4 linked regions of the Arabidopsis thaliana genome follow. The protein of the gene in region 1 interacts with the protein of each later gene in a pairwise test. Each region holds a gene or a part of one and is shown in the gene's direction. Other genes may lie near its edges.

What was found.
Region 2: the proteins of CB5-B (region 1) and BI1 interact in binary tests that used the Arabidopsis thaliana proteins (3 or more experiments, as listed by UniProt).
Region 3: the proteins of CB5-B (region 1) and FAH2 interact in a protein complementation assay, tested with the Arabidopsis thaliana proteins (one study listed by BioGRID).
Region 4: the proteins of CB5-B (region 1) and SUT4 interact in a two-hybrid assay, tested with the Arabidopsis thaliana proteins (one study listed by BioGRID).

What each region holds. Positions count from the first base shown.
Region 1 is NC_003071.7:13,875,265-13,880,221, reverse strand, and holds CB5-B (cytochrome B5), read left to right. Parts: upstream 1-1,511; 5' UTR 1,512-1,774; coding exon 1,775-1,861; intron 1,862-1,863; exon of another isoform or gene 1,864-2,465; coding exon of another isoform or gene 2,466-2,552; intron 2,553-2,809; coding exon 2,810-2,876; intron 2,877-2,958; coding exon 2,959-3,209; 3' UTR 3,210-4,410; downstream 4,411-4,957. Other genes in the region: AT2G32730 (26S proteasome regulatory complex, non-ATPase subcomplex, Rpn2/Psmd1 subunit), read right to left, coding at 1-33; AT2G32710 (Cyclin-dependent kinase inhibitor family protein), read right to left, coding at 4,872-4,941. UniProt on the Arabidopsis thaliana protein: Membrane bound hemoprotein which function as an electron carrier for several membrane bound oxygenases, including fatty acid desaturases.
Region 2 is NC_003076.8:19,134,417-19,138,577, forward strand, and holds BI1 (BAX inhibitor 1), read left to right. Parts: upstream 1-1,535; 5' UTR 1,536-1,654; coding exon 1,655-1,768; intron 1,769-2,165; coding exon 2,166-2,309; intron 2,310-2,407; coding exon 2,408-2,499; intron 2,500-2,599; coding exon 2,600-2,786; intron 2,787-2,878; coding exon 2,879-3,034; intron 3,035-3,118; coding exon 3,119-3,169; 3' UTR 3,170-3,609; downstream 3,610-4,161. Other genes in the region: LIL3:2 (Chlorophyll A-B binding family protein), read right to left, coding at 1-55, 142-279, 438-822. UniProt on the Arabidopsis thaliana protein: Suppressor of apoptosis. Modulator of endoplasmic reticulum stress-mediated programmed cell death. Involved in methyl jasmonate-induced leaf senescence through regulating cytoplasmic calcium level.
Region 3 is NC_003075.7:11,173,947-11,178,897, reverse strand, and holds FAH2 (fatty acid hydroxylase 2), read left to right. Parts: upstream 1-2,016; 5' UTR 2,017-2,206; exon of another isoform or gene 2,207-2,495; intron 2,496-2,991; 5' UTR 2,992-3,019; coding exon 3,020-3,070; intron 3,071-3,243; coding exon 3,244-3,336; intron 3,337-3,427; coding exon 3,428-3,624; intron 3,625-3,714; coding exon 3,715-3,820; intron 3,821-3,918; coding exon 3,919-4,065; intron 4,066-4,158; coding exon 4,159-4,278; 3' UTR 4,279-4,448; downstream 4,449-4,951. Other genes in the region: AT4G20860 (FAD-binding Berberine family protein), read right to left, coding at 4,580-4,951. UniProt on the Arabidopsis thaliana protein: Fatty acid 2-hydroxylase involved in the alpha-hydroxylation of the long-chain fatty acid (LCFA) palmitic acid. Probably involved in the resistance response to oxidative stress.
Region 4 is NC_003070.9:3,242,236-3,247,740, forward strand, and holds SUT4 (sucrose transporter 4), read left to right. Parts: upstream 1-1,750; 5' UTR 1,751-2,022; coding exon 2,023-2,560; intron 2,561-2,923; coding exon 2,924-3,651; intron 3,652-3,787; coding exon 3,788-3,851; intron 3,852-3,979; coding exon 3,980-4,023; intron 4,024-4,324; coding exon 4,325-4,483; 3' UTR 4,484-4,506; intron 4,507-4,592; 3' UTR 4,593-4,981; downstream 4,982-5,505. UniProt on the Arabidopsis thaliana protein: Responsible for the transport of sucrose into the cell, with the concomitant uptake of protons (symport system). Can also transport maltose at a lesser rate. May also transport biotin.

The sequences.
Region 1 (4,957 bases):
TCCTCCAGCGGAACTAACCATGGGTGTCGCCATTGATGGAGAACACTAAATCGAAATCGAAATAAACCCTAAGAGAAAGCTAATCAGATGACGAAAGATTCGAACTTTCGATGAGACTCGTCTTGAATCTCTCTACTGGATTTGAAGAAGAGTGTTTTCCTTATTTATTTTAGTTTATAGGACGAAAGTAAAAATAAAAGGAGATTTGGGAGAAGATAGTAAGTCAGGGACTTGGATGCAAACTACGAATATTTAGAGACTTACCCAACAAGTCAGGATATTAAAAACTGCCCCGAATGTATAGCTTTATTATGATTTTAGTCTCAAGTTTTGTGTTATTGAGTTATGGATCCAATATATTTTGAAGATTTACAAAAACTCCTTATTGCTTTTACAAAATTGGTTGGTCATACAATTTTAAGTTTTAGGAGCTTTTAGGATACCCTAATTGCTAAATTATCATCATATCATATCAATAAAATGTGTTGCAATTCAGAACATAATACAAAGCTTTATAGAGATATGCAAGGCATCATAGAGAAATTAATAAACTTACAGTCGGTTAATCAAATTTTATAAACAAAATTATCATAAATCGATTCAGCTCATTACACGAAATGGTAAGCGTAAACTATGATGATGGTGTGGTCGACCATTAGCTCGATTATGTAACAAAGTCATCTAGTTATTTAGCTTATAAATCATTTCAAGATGTAATTCAAAAACATATGCATTCAATTTTTTTTTTAGTTATCTGTTTATCGTATCAGAAGTTCAATGAAAATAGTGTATGAACAAACAAACACGATTTTAGTTATTTATATTTATTGTTCATTTTAAAATTATATATATATTAGTTTTTTTTAATGTGTAAATTGTATTTAATATTTTCAAAGCAACAATTTTTAGTATTGAAAAAGATTTGGTGGTCCTAAAAGTATAACTTTTTCTTTTAATAACATTATTTGGTACTAAAAAACATAAAGAAAATGATGGTTCTAATCTTTTGGTTAACCTGCTTGTTTTTCTCTAGAGAACATGGCTAATGTATTTTTTTCATTGTCGATGGTTCAAATTTGAAACTTCTCAGACCTCTTTTCGTTTACAAGGTCAGAAATTCACCGGTCAATCTATTGATTTTGAATAATATGTACATTTTATATAAGCTTTAGAAAGAAAAAGATTTGTGTCCCTAATAAATAAGGTCAGTTGGTATGAAGCAGCGGCAATTTATTTTTCTTATGTAGTTGTATCTACTAATATAAAACTACATAAATATTACTTATGAGAAAAGAATTCATATGTACCATAATAAAATTTATTGCACATCATTCACCTACCGATCTTGAATGAAAAAGGCAGAATTAGAGCGCACAACCGCAACATTTGCACTGCCTACCTACCTACCCCATCCACTCAACCGGAAATAACAACTACTACCAAACCACTTAACCCATCGGTTCAACATTGGCACATATGTTTTCAAAATCGTACAGATGAATACCATAAGGCCAAAACAGTAGAGCAGCAATTAGGTACAGACTATGTGAGAACAAACTCAAAATCAATTTTCATTAAACCGGTTTTCAAAGCTTCCAAAACTCACCAACCGATTACTTTGAGAACGAACCAAATTAAACCGGAATTTAACTGATTCGTCAAATGGTCTTTAACTCAACAACTCTCTCTCACACTCTTGTATAAAGTTTTGAGCTTTAAGTCTCAGAGTCAGGTTTTGGTGGGTTAATTCTGGTAGACAAGAATCAAACAAACAATGGGAGACGAAGCAAAGATCTTCACTCTTTCAGAAGTTTCAGAGCATAATCAAGCTCATGACTGTTGGATTGTCATCAATGGAAAGGTTTCATTCTTCTTTCTCCTTATTCTCACCTCTGAAATTAGAGATCTCGTGCTTCAAAGTTTCCCCTTTTGGTGTTTGCATGAGATTAAGCTTTTGAAGTCTCAGATTTCTAAGTCTAAAATTATCAGATCAAATCTTTAGATGGGTAGAGAGAGTAGAAAATGGTGTAGTTATTAAGCTTATGCTGAAGATTTAGCTCTTTTGATCTATTTATCAGCTGAAAATTTTCTAATTTTGATTGAAGATGGAGAAATGTAGAAATAGTTCTTATTGTCTTTAGAGTTTGTTTGATCGACATCAACCTTTCTTGGGATGGACTACTGACACTTGTCGATTAGTTGTTTGCCCTGAAGATCGATCGTTTTTGTATTGTGATTATTAACTTGTGAAGGAATCTGTAGATACATCCTTGAGCCTCCCTTCATAGTGAACTTGATTTTTGTTTTCTTCATTGATTGGTTTGTGAAATCAGTAGATTATCACAAGAAAGTAGGAAACATTAAATGTTTTGGTCTGTTGTTCCATCAGTAGTTTATGTTTCTTATTAATATTGTCACTTAAGTTCATTTTTTTTGGGAGTTTACCTCTGTGCAACAAGTTTGCTATGTACACAGAACAATCCTTTTTATCAAGTTCAGAAGATCCCAAATGTATCTCTGGACTTGGTTGTTGGTACAGTAATTTGTTTCAAGTATTCATCTTTCTATTCCTATTGTTTGATTTTTAGAGTTATATGCACCATATCTTGTTTAGTCCAAAGAAAGCGATAACCTAAGAACTTTTCTTTTTGTTGCTCCATTGTTTCTTACATTTTAATCATAAGCCTCAGAAGTGGATCTTCCCATGTTTTAAACTTCTTGATTTGACAAGAAATCTTCAAAGTTCAGAAGTTCTGTAATTGGGTTTCATTTGCCTCTCCTAACTTCACACATTTGCAAAAAAATGCAGGTGTACAATGTGACCAAGTTTCTTGAAGACCATCCAGGTGGGGACGATGTTCTCTTGTCTTCAACAGGTCTGTATAAACACAACTATCACCATGCTCCCGGCTTAGTGGAGATCAATCCATCGGTTTTTGATTCTTATTCTCTTTTCAGGTAAGGATGCAACGGATGATTTTGAGGACGTGGGTCACAGCGAGAGTGCAAGAGAAATGATGGAGCAGTACTACGTAGGAGAGATTGATCCAACAACAATACCAAAGAAAGTCAAATACACACCTCCTAAACAGCCTCACTACAATCAAGACAAGACCTCTGAATTCATAATCAAGCTCCTCCAGTTCCTCGTACCCCTTGCCATTCTTGGTTTAGCAGTCGGAATCCGTATCTACACCAAATCAGGGTAGGCTTCTTTTTTTTCTGAGCATTACTTCCTTATATCTTATATATAGAGAGAAAGATTCAAGTCTTTTGAAAAGACAAATCTGAAAGTCTCTCCCTTTGTTATTGTCTCTTCCCATATTTTGCTGTTTGAATGTATTTTGGATAATTTCTTATCTATTGTGGTGTAACTGCATATAAACAACAGTCTTGTTGGTGTTTTTGCCTTATGCAACTAATGAACATCTCATCTATATTTCAGATTCTGAAACCGAAGTTATGACTAATAAGTGATCTGTTTTGAAAGTCTGGTTTAGTATTGTTTGAGATCTGTAGAAGAAAAGTAACCAAGGAACTATCAAAACAAGGCCATGATCTTACTAATTGAATGCTTAAGAGAACACTTAATTAACTTTGAGAAAAGGAGAAACAAAAACAACAGATTACGAATTCCAAAGAGAAAGAGACGTTTGTTTTGGCAGTTACTTGATAGAGTGTGTGGCAGTTAGTGACTTGAGCTCACAAAAACATATCCACACGAAGAATCCAAAAACTCTTCTGCAACTGTAGGACCCTCTTTTTGTACCTCTTTACCGCTTTGGCCGCAAGAAGTCGCAACCGCAGACACAAAGTTCGATACTTGTAACTTCGAGAGCAATAAATTTCATTTAAGTAAAGATTGGAATGGATTCTGTGGCAAGTTGACAACTATGGACTGTTTCATTCAAAACGTTGTCGTGTGTAGACTCAAATCAATACAATCAGAAAACGAATCTTATGACAAGCAAAGACGCGACGAAGTTTCGATGATTGATCAAAAGACGATCACCATAATGATGATGATGATGATGATATGTAGTGAGTGGGTACGAATTACATATTTAAGATAATATAGTGGGCACAAATCTCACAGAGTGGAAAGTACAATGGACTCACACAAGAGCAAGAGAAAGAGAAAGAGAATCTTTTTCTAACACTTTTGATTTTAGTGAGAAGACAGAGACAAAACAAAGACCACTATGAGACACTATCCATATCCATAACGAACAGCTTCTCTGTCTCTCTATTATCAGTATACAATTGTGTATATATAGACATGTATTACCTACCTGTCATTGTGATGTTATATGTCTGAAGAACACAACACATGGACCATAATGATGATGATGATAAGAACAAGAACTTAAGATGAAGAGAACAAAAAAGAGAAGGATAAGTCTTTATTGAAAAGAGTTTGAGATCAGTACATGTATACACATAAAAGGATAGATTTTTTAAAATGGTTACAGGACAAAGAGTTTTAAGAGAATGCAGAGTCCCCCTGTACCGGAATTCATAAAAGAAAACACTGACCCTTAAACCGAAAGAACTCTAAACCCTAAACGCTAAACCCTAAACAGACTTTGGGTTACTTCTAAAAACCTTCTCTTATGGCTTTAGTACTACTACTAAGGTGATCTGTATAGGCTTAAAAAGGATTGGTATCAAGTTCTGTTACACAAACCCTTTTCAGCCACTTATGTTACAGACACCAATTTAAAAACACTACATGGGTTTTTTCTCCTAAGCTCTTTACATGTTGAAAAAGTTAAGAAAACGGATGATGGTAATAAGATCAAACCGATAATTAGCAGGAAAATGTTAATATATTCTGTATTAACTATTAACCCCCCATTTTTTTGTTGTTTCTAATCATCTACCTTCGTCCATTCAAACCGTCCTGGTAGTGGTTGTTCGTTCACAGGATCAAAGTTGTACCTGAAGAAAGAGTTGA
Region 2 (4,161 bases), on another chromosome or scaffold:
CCGGTAAGACTATCAACAAAGTAAGCCATGAAGAACCCTATCATCGCAGCACGACCTACACCACCAAGACAACAACTTAGATGCACAAAATGTTAAGTGTACTATATCTAAGTGTTAGATCATAAGTGTTTTGAAAATCACCATTGAGAAGTTCAGCTTCAGGTAGATGGTATCTCTTCATCCATGCCCACCATGGAATAATCGAAGTATCGAAGACAACAAGCTCGTCGTTACTCGTTGTTTCCGGGTTATCTTCAAGCCATTTTCTCCTCTTTGCCTCTATAAAAATACATAATCAACACATTTACACAACAAACACTCCTCTTCTTACACACCACTATAAGAAACCAAAGCAGAATCTTCCTAATAACAAAGCATAGACATATATCAAGTATTCAAAGAATCTGTACTGAACTGAAGTTTTAAAAGGATCTAACCAGAAACGATAACAGAATCCCAATCAGTTTTGCCATCTTTCTCGAACTGTTTCAGATCCCAAGTTCCATTAACCCACTTCGCATTCTGATATTTGATTACCGTCTCAGTACTCGAATCAGTCGCTTCACCTCCAACGGCGCCGTTTTCAGAAGCGGAGGAGCTTTCGGCTGGAGATTTAACTGGAACTTCCTCTACAGCCACAGAAGCAGGCTTCGGAATCTCCACGACGGGGGAAGTCGTACCATTGTCGGAGGAAGCTCTAGGGACGGAGATTAGAGAGAAACGCTTGGTGGAGAGAAGAGAGGTTGAGATCTTGGGGATGAGATTAGGGTTCTGAAGTGAGGAAGAGATCGGCGGAGAGAATAACGCCATGGATATAGACATTTTTTTGTTAAGATCTCTCTCTCTCTCTCTCTCTCTCTTTGTCTCTCTCGATCTCCTCTGCTCTGAGTTTTTTTTTTTTTTGCAGAGTTAGTTTGAATGTGTGGTTTGAAATGAGCTATGAAGGAAGTGAAAGAGATGTTGTTATCGTTAGAAACTTGGATTGTATGTCGTTTTCCTTTTTTAATTCAGTTTAAGGAAGAAACTACGTGATGTTTTCTGTAAGCAAAAATAGAAAGATAAACGAGACTGTTAATGGGCTTTGCGATCAGCCCATATAGAACTAGAATTCAAAACCTGACATTTAACCATACTCTCGACCCATGATTTACGAATTGACTAGACGATATGAAAATGTCCTTGGTCTTTTCTTTATTAGTTTGTTAAACTTTTGATGCAACTGAAAATAATAGAGAAAGATTATAGAAAAGTCTTTGTAAATTAATAAATACTGTTATCCAAAATACTTTATCACAAAACTAAAACAAATTTATTCCTAAGCTTAAACAATAATATGTAAACTAAGTGAAAAATCCACGTGGATGATTCTTATTGGTTAGATGACGATTTAGATATTTCATTTGCTTCGCGGCAAAGTTTCAACTCATTACGACGACGACGATCTCAACGTTCAAGAAGTTTCCAGAACTACCCTTCTCCGTGTTTAATGCCCCTACACGTGTAGCGAATGCGTAATAACTACACATAAGCAGTAAGGGTATTATTGTCAATTTAGTCCCCAATCATAAGGCCCATTATAAATAACGAAAGTCTTTATTTTCTAACTAATATTTTCATTAATCGATTCTCAAAGTCAAGCAAAAAAAACGAAACAATGGATGCGTTCTCTTCCTTCTTCGATTCTCAACCTGGTAGCAGAAGCTGGAGCTATGATTCTCTTAAAAACTTCCGTCAGATTTCTCCAGCCGTTCAGAATCATCTTAAACGGGTAAGTTTCTTCGCCGCCGATGTCTATTCATATCACACACCAAACCGCGATGTCTAGATTAGAGTCGATAGATTGAGATTCGTTTCGTTTTCGTGCTATTGATCGCTCTATGTTTCTATATTTCATCTAATTTCTATGATTTGGTTTCCGTTGAACGAATCGTTGCGATCGTACTTTATCTAGGGTTTCTAATTGGGTCTTTCCATGATTTAGTTTGTTGATACTTACTTGATTATGATTCTGTGGAGATCTTTCGTTATACTTTACTCTGCTTATTATTGTTAAGATCCTCTTGTTCATTTGTCATGTTCCATTTGCAGAAGGGAATGTGATTTGTATACTCACTCATGTTACAAATGCTCATTGGTTCTTATTATTTGTGGTGGAATCTTTGTAGGTTTATTTGACCTTATGTTGTGCTCTTGTGGCGTCTGCCTTTGGAGCTTACCTCCATGTGCTCTGGAATATCGGCGGTATTCTTACAACGATTGGATGTATTGGAACTATGATTTGGCTCCTTTCATGTCCTCCTTATGAACACGTACGTGGGCTCGATTTACCCAACCCAATAGTGAATTGGCTGCTTTCTTATTGTACTAAAGTTTCGTTTTCCTGACATTGTTGTTTGTTTTGATGCAGCAAAAAAGGCTTTCTCTTCTGTTTGTGTCTGCTGTTCTTGAAGGTGCTTCTGTTGGCCCCTTGATCAAAGTGGCAATTGATGTTGACCCAAGGTGTGTTATGGTTATGCAATTTGATTCTTGTTGTTCAATGTTAATTTTCTGTTAGACTATTCTAGGAGCTGACCTTTATATCTTTCTTTTGGTTCTCCAGCATCCTTATCACTGCATTTGTTGGAACTGCGATAGCGTTTGTCTGTTTCTCAGCAGCAGCAATGTTAGCAAGACGCAGGGAGTATCTCTACCTTGGAGGACTGCTTTCATCTGGCTTGTCTATGCTAATGTGGCTCCAGTTTGCCTCTTCAATCTTTGGTGGCTCTGCATCTATCTTTAAGTTTGAGGTAAACCGAATGCCTCTGTTTTAGAATGATCTGTTCTTTGTCTTACTTTCTCAGACATCTCACCATTGTTATGAATACGTCTCTGGTTGCAGTTGTACTTTGGACTTTTGATCTTTGTGGGATACATGGTGGTGGACACACAAGAGATTATAGAAAAGGCACACCTCGGTGACATGGACTATGTAAAACATTCGTTGACCCTTTTCACTGACTTTGTAGCTGTGTTTGTTCGGATTCTCATCATAATGGTAAGTTCATTTGTCGCTGGTATAAGAAAATGGTACACTTTATTTGTTAGTAAACCGTCATTGACGGACTCTTTTGTTATGCAGTTGAAGAACTCAGCAGATAAAGAAGAGAAGAAGAAGAAAAGGAGAAACTGAGGGGATGTAAAGTAAATTTAACTTTATGGTTGTTATCGTGTGTGGCCACTTTGAAGATATTACTTGTTAGCACTCTCTATTGGTGACCAGACATGTTTCCACTAAAAAGGATCTGCTTGTTTCACTTCTGCACAAGTACCATCTTCAGATTGTAAATGACTCGAGTGTTGTTCTTCTTTTCATAAACTTTTGTTCTTTAAGAGTTTGGTTCTACTGATTGCATCTTACCAAGCTAAGAATAATGTAGGAAAATGATAATCCTGTTTAAATTTTCTAAAATGTGTGCATTTCAGATTCTCACAGTTGCAACATTTGCTATTGCTTGGAAGTTGTAATCGAAAAATAACTTGCAATTTCCATGATAAGTGTGTAAAAACCTGCATTCTCGTGAAACGTGGATTTGAAAATTGCAAATAAATGGCGTTTAGCCTTTTGTCAAACGTCTGGTTGGAGCTTTTTGTCAAAATTTGTTCCCAATAGAATGTTGTGGTACGGCAAATGGCAAGGAATATACATCAGATTTTCCTTCTCACTTTAAAAACGACGTTATGTTTTGCATAGAGTCTAGACCTCGGAGCTCATGACCCGATCTTAAGTTTGAATCCATCCGACAAACCGACGATGGAGACAATACTAGTTATATACTTGCATATGTTCTGACTTCTGGTCCAAGGCAATCTAGGATTAGCACATTAACGTGTGTAGCATTTTCAATTGGGTTTTTGATACACTCCTTTTGCAATCCATGATAACATGATTGCAACTTGCAAAAGGATCTAAAAGAAAAGAAAATTAAAAATCACTGGCCAGAAATGCAAAACATGAACCAACCCCTAGAAGTTCTGTTAATACTTAATAGATGTAACAGAAGGAAATGAAGCCAAAAACGAGAACAAAATATTTGAATAAAACAATTACATCTCTGTTTTTTCTTTGTTTGATTTTTTAAAAGAACTAGGGAAATTGGAACCGTAAATTCTTGCATTAGTTCC
Region 3 (4,951 bases), on another chromosome or scaffold:
TTGATACGTTCAAGATAATCTTGGTGTTTTGTTATGGCGTATGTCTCGGATTTGTCATCGTGCGGCTTTTAGCATTTCTTTTTGACAATTCTAAATCAACTTTCGAAATTGGATCCAATTCCGATTGAAGAAACTTTTAAAAAGAGGATGTAGAAACATTGGTATTCATTTGTAGGTGGTTTGCAAATGATGCATCACATTTTTCAATATTCAAGTTCATCTTAATTAGAAGAAAAAAACAAAACGTTTATGTCAAAGTTGCATTAGCATGAGTGCATGACTATTCTAAAAAGATTGCATGTAACAAAATTAAACAACAAATTTGGAGCTTATGTTAAGAAGACTACATATTCCATGGGGAATCGAATCTAAGACAAGTATCTTAGTTGTGGACTATTTAGAAGACAAAAACAAAGTCTTTTTGTTGTTAAAGTGTTTGAAATAAGTAATGTTGTATATGAAAGAATGATTAATATTTCAACCTAATTGAAATTTTGAAACTCTCAAAGTGCATAATGAAAACTATTATTTATATAGTGGAAAGCCTCATTGCTATATCATGGCTATCATTAAGGTTTTTGGCCATGTCTAATTACTTTTATATGAATAGTTCCCAACAGATGTAAAGGGGCTAATATCTATTCTAGATGCGTGTCCATATATGTATTAATTTGTTGATATAAAGTAATAAAACAACACATCACATCCATATCTACATCATTCATATGTATTAAGCATTTTTATTGTAAGAAGGTACTATTGAATTTTTATTTATGACTTCATTGTTAGCTAAATAAAATATATATATCTCCCTTTCCTTTTATGTGTTCAGAAAAATATTAAAATCTTCAATTTTAATTTAAGATATCAGAATCTAATTATCTATAATGGATGTTTGATTATTTTCTTTATGAACAATGAGAAATGTTACAAACAATAATTTTGTTATTAATTTTTTTTTTCAACAAACAATAATTTCATTAGTAAATTTCTCATATTATACCATTTTGTAAATCTACAATTCTATTTTTGTTAGTTTTATTATTGATTTAAAACTTATGCATAACTTTATCATTTGTGTATCTATCTATCCGGATTAGTATTACGGTATTACCACAACAAACACGTCGAAATTGATATTTACTTTGTCCTTGGTTAAGCTAAGGTTCTTCACTTCCTTTTAGCTCCCCATTACATTTACATCTTCACCTTAGGTATTTCTATCTCTCTTTTCTAAGATTTTAACACCAGCCCAACATTCTAACATTACTCTACTCCGAAAAAGAATGTTAGATTCTTATTTATTTATAAGATCAAATATGTAGATATACAATTTTAGTATAGATCTCACTTATAGCAGCTAGAGAGATGAGTAATAAGAATTATCTGCAGAATTTATTCATCTAGTCTTTGGTTGGTGATACTTAAGCAAAAGTCCCTTACTCATAGACTCATAGTCATAGGCGCATAGACGCATAGTAGTAGTCATATTAGACCCATACTCCCTAGAGAAGAGAAAAACCATTCTCTGAAAGTGACAAGAGATAACTTCATATTATCAATGGACCGACCAACCATCTGATCAATGTTGGCTAGCCATACATTCTTGTTTTTATTTTCCATTTCCAAATCAAAAAGCGGATCTGTGTCTGTGATTTATGCTGAAGAGGCTTTTAGAAAATTAGAAAAAAAATGTAATTTTTGTTTTCCAAAATTTAAACATCTTTTAATAGCAAAACAATTTATATTTGTCTACATATACATGGCGTGTTACTCTAGAAACAACACAAATTTAGAAAATACTATTTTTTTTATTCTCATTTAGAAAAAACTATTTTAATTTTGCAACTTTTTAGAAATAGTAAATAAAATATTATTTTAATTCAGAAAAAGATATGAGATTTTTATTTCTCTACAAAAACTATTTTTAGTTTTGCAAAAATAGCAAATAAAATATTGTTTATACAAAATAAAAGATATGACCTTATACAAATAATATTTTAATGGCTAAAACAGAACAAAAAAAAAAAGGTAGGAAACGTGGGCCGAACATTATCAGAAGGATTCAAGCGAAGCAAAATCCCACCCTTTCTTCTGTGACAGAGTGTCTGTATTTGTTGTTTCCCTTCAATTGGAGAGAGTAAGCGAGTCTCTTACGCCCAGAGAGAGAGAGAGAGAGAGGCTTGTTTGTTTTCTCTCCTCTAAGGTAAAATAATCCTCAGATCTCTGAGTCTCATTCTCTTCAAATTCTTCCGATTTCTTCTCTCAGATTCTATGTTTTTCTCATTATCTCTTCCCCGATTTATAGATCTTTTCTGCAAAAAGTTCGGGATTTTTTTTCGTGAATTTCGAAGAATGTTGGCTTTTTTCTTCGTCTAAGTTTCTTTTTCTCTCGTGGGATTTGATGATTTGATGTTTTAATTTGATTCATAGCTGAAAGTTTTGTTCTTTAATACATTGTCAAGGTTCTCTTCGTTGATTGGCTCTGTCTTTAGGTAATGCTGAGAATGTTATAATCTTATAATGTCTCCCTTATGTTGGATCATTGACCCTTGATTAGATTTCTTCTTTGGATGTGTTCTCTTTTGCAAATCGAGCTTTACCAAATCCTCAGATGCCAAATGCAGTCTTTTAGTTTTAGATTGCCTTTAAAGCAATAGATTTCCTAGTAATTGACATTGAATTTTTCAGTTTGGATGATCAACAGATTTATGTTCTTGTCAGATGAAGATGTTGTCATTTTTTTTCTATTGATATTTGTATTTGAATGAGTACTGTTTCATATGAGCAGAATTTTGCAGCACAGTAGGATTATCTTTTTATTGTTTTGGGATCAATTTGGTTGGAATTTCTTTTATGAGCTAGCTAGAACTTAAATCTTCTAACACTATCGTGAATTTTGTTTCACCTTTAATGATATATTGTTCATTCTCAATGTTTGTTTCTCAACAGTACTGCATTTAAGATTTTTGGTTTTGGATTTACTTGCAGAAACAATCAGTCTCATAAAGTGGCAAAGATGGTTGCAGAACGATACACAGTCGATTTGAATAAGCCACTTGTGTTTCAGGTGATGCGCTCAGTCACGTCTTTTCCGCATAGCCTTTTTTTAACAAATTAGATCGACAAGACAAAGTATCAAATGGAGAATTCTCTGTCAATCTTTAAAGCTGTTTCGTAGATTCTTTGATATATACAATGCATAACAAATTACTAATACAAAGAAACTTATATCCTTGTCAGGTTGGTCATCTTGGCGAAGAATATCAGGAATGGATTCATCAACCTATTGTATGCGTTGAGGGTCCTCGTTTTTTCGAAAGTGATTTTTGGGAGGTAACATAACAACTCTGCCTTTTTAAGATTTATCTTCATATATGTAAGCCTCTATGTTTGGCTTAAACCTTTTTTTGGGAAATTTGAGCAGTTTTTGACTCGCACGGTTTGGTGGGCAATCCCAACAATCTGGCTTCCAGTTGTTTGCTACGTTCTTTCAATATCGGCGAGTAAGGGACTTACGTTTCCCCAGATCGGTTTAATAGTTGCTTTTGGTGTACTCACGTGGACACTGCTCGAGTACACGCTTCATCGCTTCCTTTTCCACATCCAAACCAAGAGTTACTGGTTAGTTCTGTATTTGTGATTATGCAACATAGAAACACCCGATTTCATCACGAAGCTTATCTGTTTCATTTCAAACCCTTTTTTCTTCAGGGCAAACACTGCACACTATCTTCTTCATGGATGCCATCACAAGCACCCACAAGACGGCCTTCGTCTTGTTTTCCCTCCTACAGCAACAGCTATTCTCTTGGTTCCAGTAAGTATCCATGCTTGATCCAGATATGGAATCTCTTTCATTCATTCTTTACTTCAATACGAAAACTTTTATTGATGCTCTTCTTTTTCCGTTGTTAGCTATGGAAGCTTCTCCATCTCCTAGCTACTCCTGCTACAGCACCTGCTATTCTTGGAGGCATATTGTTTGGCTATGTGATGTATGATATTACCCATTACTATCTACACCATGGTCAACCTAAAGAACCAACCTTTAAACATCTTAAGGTAAGGAAAACCATCTCTAGACATCTCCTCTTTTTTCGCGTTCAAACTTATTCCTCTGCATTTCTGATGAGGTTTGATATATACATTTTACAGAAATACCACCTGAATCATCACTTTAGGATTCAGGACAAAGGATATGGAATCACTTCCTCTCTATGGGACAAAGTCTTTGGAACACTTCCCGGTATTAAAGCCGCTGCGAAGAAGAGCTAAATCGGATTTCTGTTTGCCATTTTTCAGAGTGTCGAAAAACTCACTGATATTGTGTATTCTAAATTCATCAGGTGATTCAATGACTGTTTAACTACTTCTGTATACGATCTATTCACCATATTTGAACATATTTTTAGTGGTTTAATATCATTCAGAATTTGGTCTTTGAATTGACTATTCTCGGTCCGCTTAAACCGTATTGGGTACATCTCACTTTTACAATTGTAGCAGAAAGTTACATTATCTATTATAATTGAAAAAATGAAATGACATCTTTTATATCTGGTTTTGTATTGAGGACTCAAAACAGAGGAGGAATACTCTGTTCGTTCCTGAAGAAATTTGTTGGATCAATCTTCCCTTTAACCAAACCTAATCTCTTGAAATTACCTTTGAAATAAGTCTCACCCCATTTCCTTGCATCTTCGAAACTCGTGTTAATCCCTTTGGTCGAGCCCAAATCAAGATCTCTGTAATTCAAATAAGCTCCTCTCGGCGATTTAGAAACATACGGAGTCATGTAATCGTGTAACGATCTCATCCACCTGACATGTTTGTTCATCTCCTCGACTTCATTCACTTTCCATTTCACCATGTACTGTATATTATACAGATTACCTCTTCTGTGTGGATATGGAGATTCTGTTTCTGAAATCTTGCTGATTTTCCCACC
Region 4 (5,505 bases), on another chromosome or scaffold:
CTTTTCTTCTTTACTAAGAAAATTTCTACATTATTTTAAGATTTTTCTTTTCCATGTAGTTGTCTCATACTTCCTTCGAAAAGATCTTTCTCTAACTTCAACCTTGGGGATCGAGCAACCATATTTCAATCAACAGATTCTTTCATCACTCTAATAACGGACAAAAAAAGAAAAGATGTCAAAAAAAAAAAAATTGGAATATGCACGTTGATACTATAAGTTCATTTAAATCAGTCGTTAGAGTAAACCTTATTGAGAGTTCAAATTCATTTAAAAACCTGATGAGATAATTATATAATTTCTTATAAGATTTTTTTTTCTTGTAAGAATTTAACGAATAGAATTTTTCTCTCTATTACTTAAAATTCCTCCTCGTCAAAAATTGCAAATGCTTGGCAGTTTTACCATTTTCTCAGAACTACCGTATGAGAAATAAAGTACGTATTAAAAAACAATACAAGCTTTAAAGATAAAAGAGGCAACAAATTTTTTTGACAAAAAAATTAGATGAAAAGAAGTGACGACAAATAACTGAGAAAACACGTTTTGCAAAACTAAAAAAAAAAAAAAAAAGAGAGAGTTGGAAAATGTTTGGAGCTGGTGGGCATTAGTTGGCTATGCAACGCACGGACGCGGATACTTTTCAACTCGTTGCTTACGCGGCCACGTTTTCGTCACAAACCGTGTTTCTTTTGCGGCCTTTTAAGTTTTAATCAAACATTTTTGTTTTCATTTGAATCTTTTTTTTAAGGCGGTTATACGAATAAAATCATTAAAAGGAGAAACGGGCCTTCATGTTTAGGTTTTTGTTCTTCCTCATTTGGGTTATTTAGCTTATTGGTTCAGCCCACAAGAGTTTCCTTCAATGGATAGGGCCTTCAGTTGCATGCCATCATCCTTTCTTGTTTCTCTATAAGCCATTTTTGCAATGAGAATTTCTCAATTTCTTATTTTTGCAATAAAATCATTTTGCCTTAGATGATGGTGGAATCATCCGTTTTTCTTTATTTTGACCCGGTGAGTAATTGAACGCAAAAAATAGTCCAATTATTCAAAACCTTACAATTTCATATCGCCATAATAAACCTAAACATGATTCGAGTGAGCAACTACATAAAAAGGGGAACGAAATGTTGGTACAAAACTGAATTCCAACCCAATCAAGTGCATACTAAACTATTGAGCAAAAACAAAGATAAAAATCAGTTCACCTACCCTAATTAAAACATGATTAGGCCTAAAAGACTATAAGTAAAGATAAAAAAGATGCCATTTTAGAGTACGTTTTGGTAAATTGGCGCCATCGTGTTATACGTTTAAACCGTATAACCTGAATCATGCAGCACGTGTACGGCTCACATTGGCCCAAGCTTGATTAACAAACAATAACGTCATTTTCGTATTTCAACAATTTTGATCGCTCAATCCTTTCGACCTAATTTCCATATTAAGTAATTTATTAGTTAAAACAACGGACTCAACCAAATTACATATTAAGAGAATATTTGAAAATTGTCTATGTAGATGAACATGTATTTGAAAATTGCGTAAGCACACTCTTTCTCTCTCTCTTTTTTTTTTTTTTTTTTCCCCCTCTTCTTTCTTTGAATAAAGATGACATTTTTTTCTGTTCCAAACACAAAACTGCATATTGATAGTGTTATTGAATACTCAACGTCTCTTCTTCCAGCTTACGTAAGTGGAACTTACTTTTTGCCCCGTGATCCAACAGAAAATGACGAATGCTCCCTCAAAATCATTTCGTTTCAACAAAAATATGTATTTTATCCATAGAGAAACAACAAACCTTACACTATATACCCTCTTTTAACGTGCCCACTTTTCATTATTTACACAATTTCCCCAACAAATTTAAAACAATTTACAAAAAGCACTCAACTTTCCTAAAGTAGATTCCTTTAGTCCAATGGAATTCTTACAACATCTTCTTCTTCGCCACCTTTTTCTCTCCACTTTAAGCTTTTTCACTCTCTCTACGCCACGACGACTGTGAAGCGAGAAATGGCTACTTCCGATCAAGATCGCCGTCACAGAGTCACTCGCAACCGTCCACCAATAGCTCGACCCTCTACTTCTTCATCTCGTCCCGTTGTATCTCCTCCTAGATCAAAAGTTTCGAAGCGTGTGCTTCTCCGTGTAGCTTCCGTCGCATGCGGGATTCAATTCGGATGGGCTCTTCAGCTTTCTCTCCTCACACCTTACGTTCAAGAGCTGGGGATCCCACACGCTTGGGCTAGTGTGATTTGGCTTTGCGGTCCTCTCTCTGGTTTGTTCGTGCAACCGCTCGTTGGGCATAGTAGCGATAGGTGTACTAGTAAGTACGGTCGTCGGAGACCGTTTATTGTCGCCGGAGCTGTGGCGATTTCTATCTCTGTTATGGTTATTGGTCATGCGGCGGATATTGGATGGGCATTTGGGGATAGAGAAGGGAAGATTAAGCCGAGGGCGATTGTTGCTTTTGTTTTAGGGTTTTGGATTCTTGATGTTGCTAATAATATGACTCAAGGTCCTTGTAGAGCTCTCCTTGCTGATCTTACTGGTAAAGTTCCTGACTTTAGTGTTGATTGGGTCTTCAATTTGAAATCATTCAAATGTAGTAAATTTGGGATTCTCGTGATTATACACTCACATGCAAAACATGAAAATGCATAAATTTGTGATTTTGGATACAATTTGGGGTTATATAATTACCTAATTGGTTCCTAACAATCAAAAGGTCCCTTCTTTGTTTCTGGTCGGTGGCTTATCGTTGAGTCACAGAGACTTTGTTTTTTCTCTTTCCCTTGAATCAAATTGTGGATTTTGGTGAAGTTAATCGTAGCCTACGATTGTGTGATAACCTCATGGAGTGAAAACAAAGATATGTTGTGTTTTAATTCTTGTCCTATTGCTTTATTTTCAGAGAATGATAATCGCAGAACCCGAGTTGCAAATGGCTACTTCTCTCTCTTTATGGCTGTTGGCAATGTTCTTGGCTATGCTACTGGATCATACAATGGTTGGTACAAGATCTTCACTTTTACGAAGACAGTTGCATGTAATGTGGAATGTGCCAATCTCAAGTCTGCCTTCTACATAGATGTTGTCTTTATTGCAATAACTACGATCCTAAGCGTCTCAGCGGCTCATGAGGTGCCACTTGCTTCATTGGCTTCTGAAGCACATGGGCAAACCAGTGGAACAGACGAAGCTTTTCTTTCTGAGATATTTGGAACTTTCAGATATTTTCCAGGAAATGTTTGGATAATCTTGCTTGTTACAGCATTGACATGGATTGGTTGGTTTCCATTTATTCTGTTTGATACTGATTGGATGGGTCGAGAGATCTATGGCGGTGAACCGAACATAGGGACTTCATATAGTGCTGGGGTCAGTATGGGTGCACTTGGTTTGATGTTGAATTCTGTTTTTCTTGGAATCACTTCTGTGCTCATGGAGAAACTTTGCAGAAAGTGGGGGGCTGGTTTTGTTTGGGGAATATCAAATATCTTAATGGCTATTTGCTTTCTTGGAATGATAATCACCTCATTTGTTGCGTCTCACCTTGGCTACATTGGCCATGAACAACCTCCTGCCAGCATCGTGTTTGCTGCTGTGTTAATCTTTACAATTCTGGGCATTCCATTGGCGGTAAGTTTACTCCTGTAATTCTGCTGTCATGTTACTTACACTATTACTTATGATATTTTGCCTGCTCATCTGTAACAACATGATGAAATTTATTTACGCTTTCGCTGTAACTAATGCTATTGCTACTCTTCTGCAGATAACTTACAGCGTCCCATATGCGTTGATTTCCATACGTATTGAATCCCTGGGCTTAGGTCAAGGTGTGCAGGCTTATCTTTGGGTGTTGTTTCTTATAAAAGTTCTGTTGTGTTGTTTCTTAGAAAAGTTCTGCTCAATGATTTTACTCTACATATGAGTGTTGTTTCTTATAAAAGTTCTGTTGTGGCAGGCTTATCTTTGGGTGTGCTAAATTTGGCGATAGTCATCCCACAGGTACACTTCTTTCAACCATCCTTTTAGCATTATATTTGCCGCAACTCAAAATCATATTCTTCTTTGAATGTTTCTGCCTGTAAAAGGAAGTCTATAAGCATAACATGCAGCAGAGTTACTGCATTATTTGTCAATTGTCATTAATAAACGATTCGTTTTTTTAGTTATGGTCATTGGCCAGTGATGAAAGTACACTTTTTATTTCTCTATATTAGTTGATTGATGAATTTCTTCCCTATGTTGGTTATGGTTTTTGGCATCAAACTCAAATTCTGTTGTTCAATCATTTATGTGTTTGCAGGTAATTGTGTCTGTTGGCAGTGGCCCATGGGATCAACTGTTTGGAGGTGGGAATTCACCGGCACTTGCAGTAGGAGCAGCTACAGGCTTCATTGGCGGAATTGTAGCTATCTTGGCTCTTCCACGGACAAGGATTCAGAAGCCCATCCCTCTCCCATGAGATTCTCTCTTTTGTTATATAAGGTAATAATGTCACAATTCTTTCACAAAAAGTACATAGTAAGCACTTAAGTTGTCACTGATTATTAAAAGCGGCTAATGCGAAATAGATGAGTGTCAAGCGAGGAACGCATAAGGGGAGTGCTTGGAAATGGCAAGGAGATGGAACACTTAATGTGATCCTTGTCGAAAATTCGTGCAATGGCTTCTCGTGTGACTAACTTATTTGCAGCTACTAGGACTTAATCCCCTCTACTTTGGGGACTATGATCCTTGTATACACGAGGCACCATAGAACCAATGAAAATAATACATCATTCAGTTTGTGAGGTATATGCATCTCTCCTTTATTGGAAGTTCCAGTTCGGGATCTTCTCTGTTTTTTTTGTTGTTGTTGTAAATTAATGTAAAAACCTGTGTACAACAGAGTGTTTGTAAGGGCCCCTGAGTTCTGTAACTGTTTATAAAGTTCATTTTCTTTAGAATTAGTTTGATAAAGAAAACCTGAGATCCAAAAAATTTACATGATCTGTGTAGCAAAAGTAGAAAGGAACCATTACGAGTACTAGTAGTCTCTATAGTAGCAGTAACCACCAATAGTCAGCAATAGATTAGGATGACTCTTGGGAATATTAAGACCATCTCCAATGGTTAAGAAGTAATTGGTTCTTAACCAAACATCTTAACAATTATTTATACTAAAATTTTGAAACATGACATGTAACTGTTTTTTTCACTCATGAAAACTTCTTAGCTAAGAAGCAAATCTTAGTTTTTAATTTATTTTGATTTAATTTTCAAAGTTTAATTCTAAAATATTATTCTAAGATACACCTAAGATAAACCATTGGAAGTGCTCTAAGCCTAGTAGGAAGGAATAGTAGCAAATCCCAGTTTTCTTCTTGAGTGAGATGTTTGAGATTGAAATTACTGTAATGCTATTGAGATTCTGTAGGCAGCGTATCAATAATTGAGAGAAATAAGTAGATGCTAATACAGCTTGAGCAATACTTATCCTTGTAA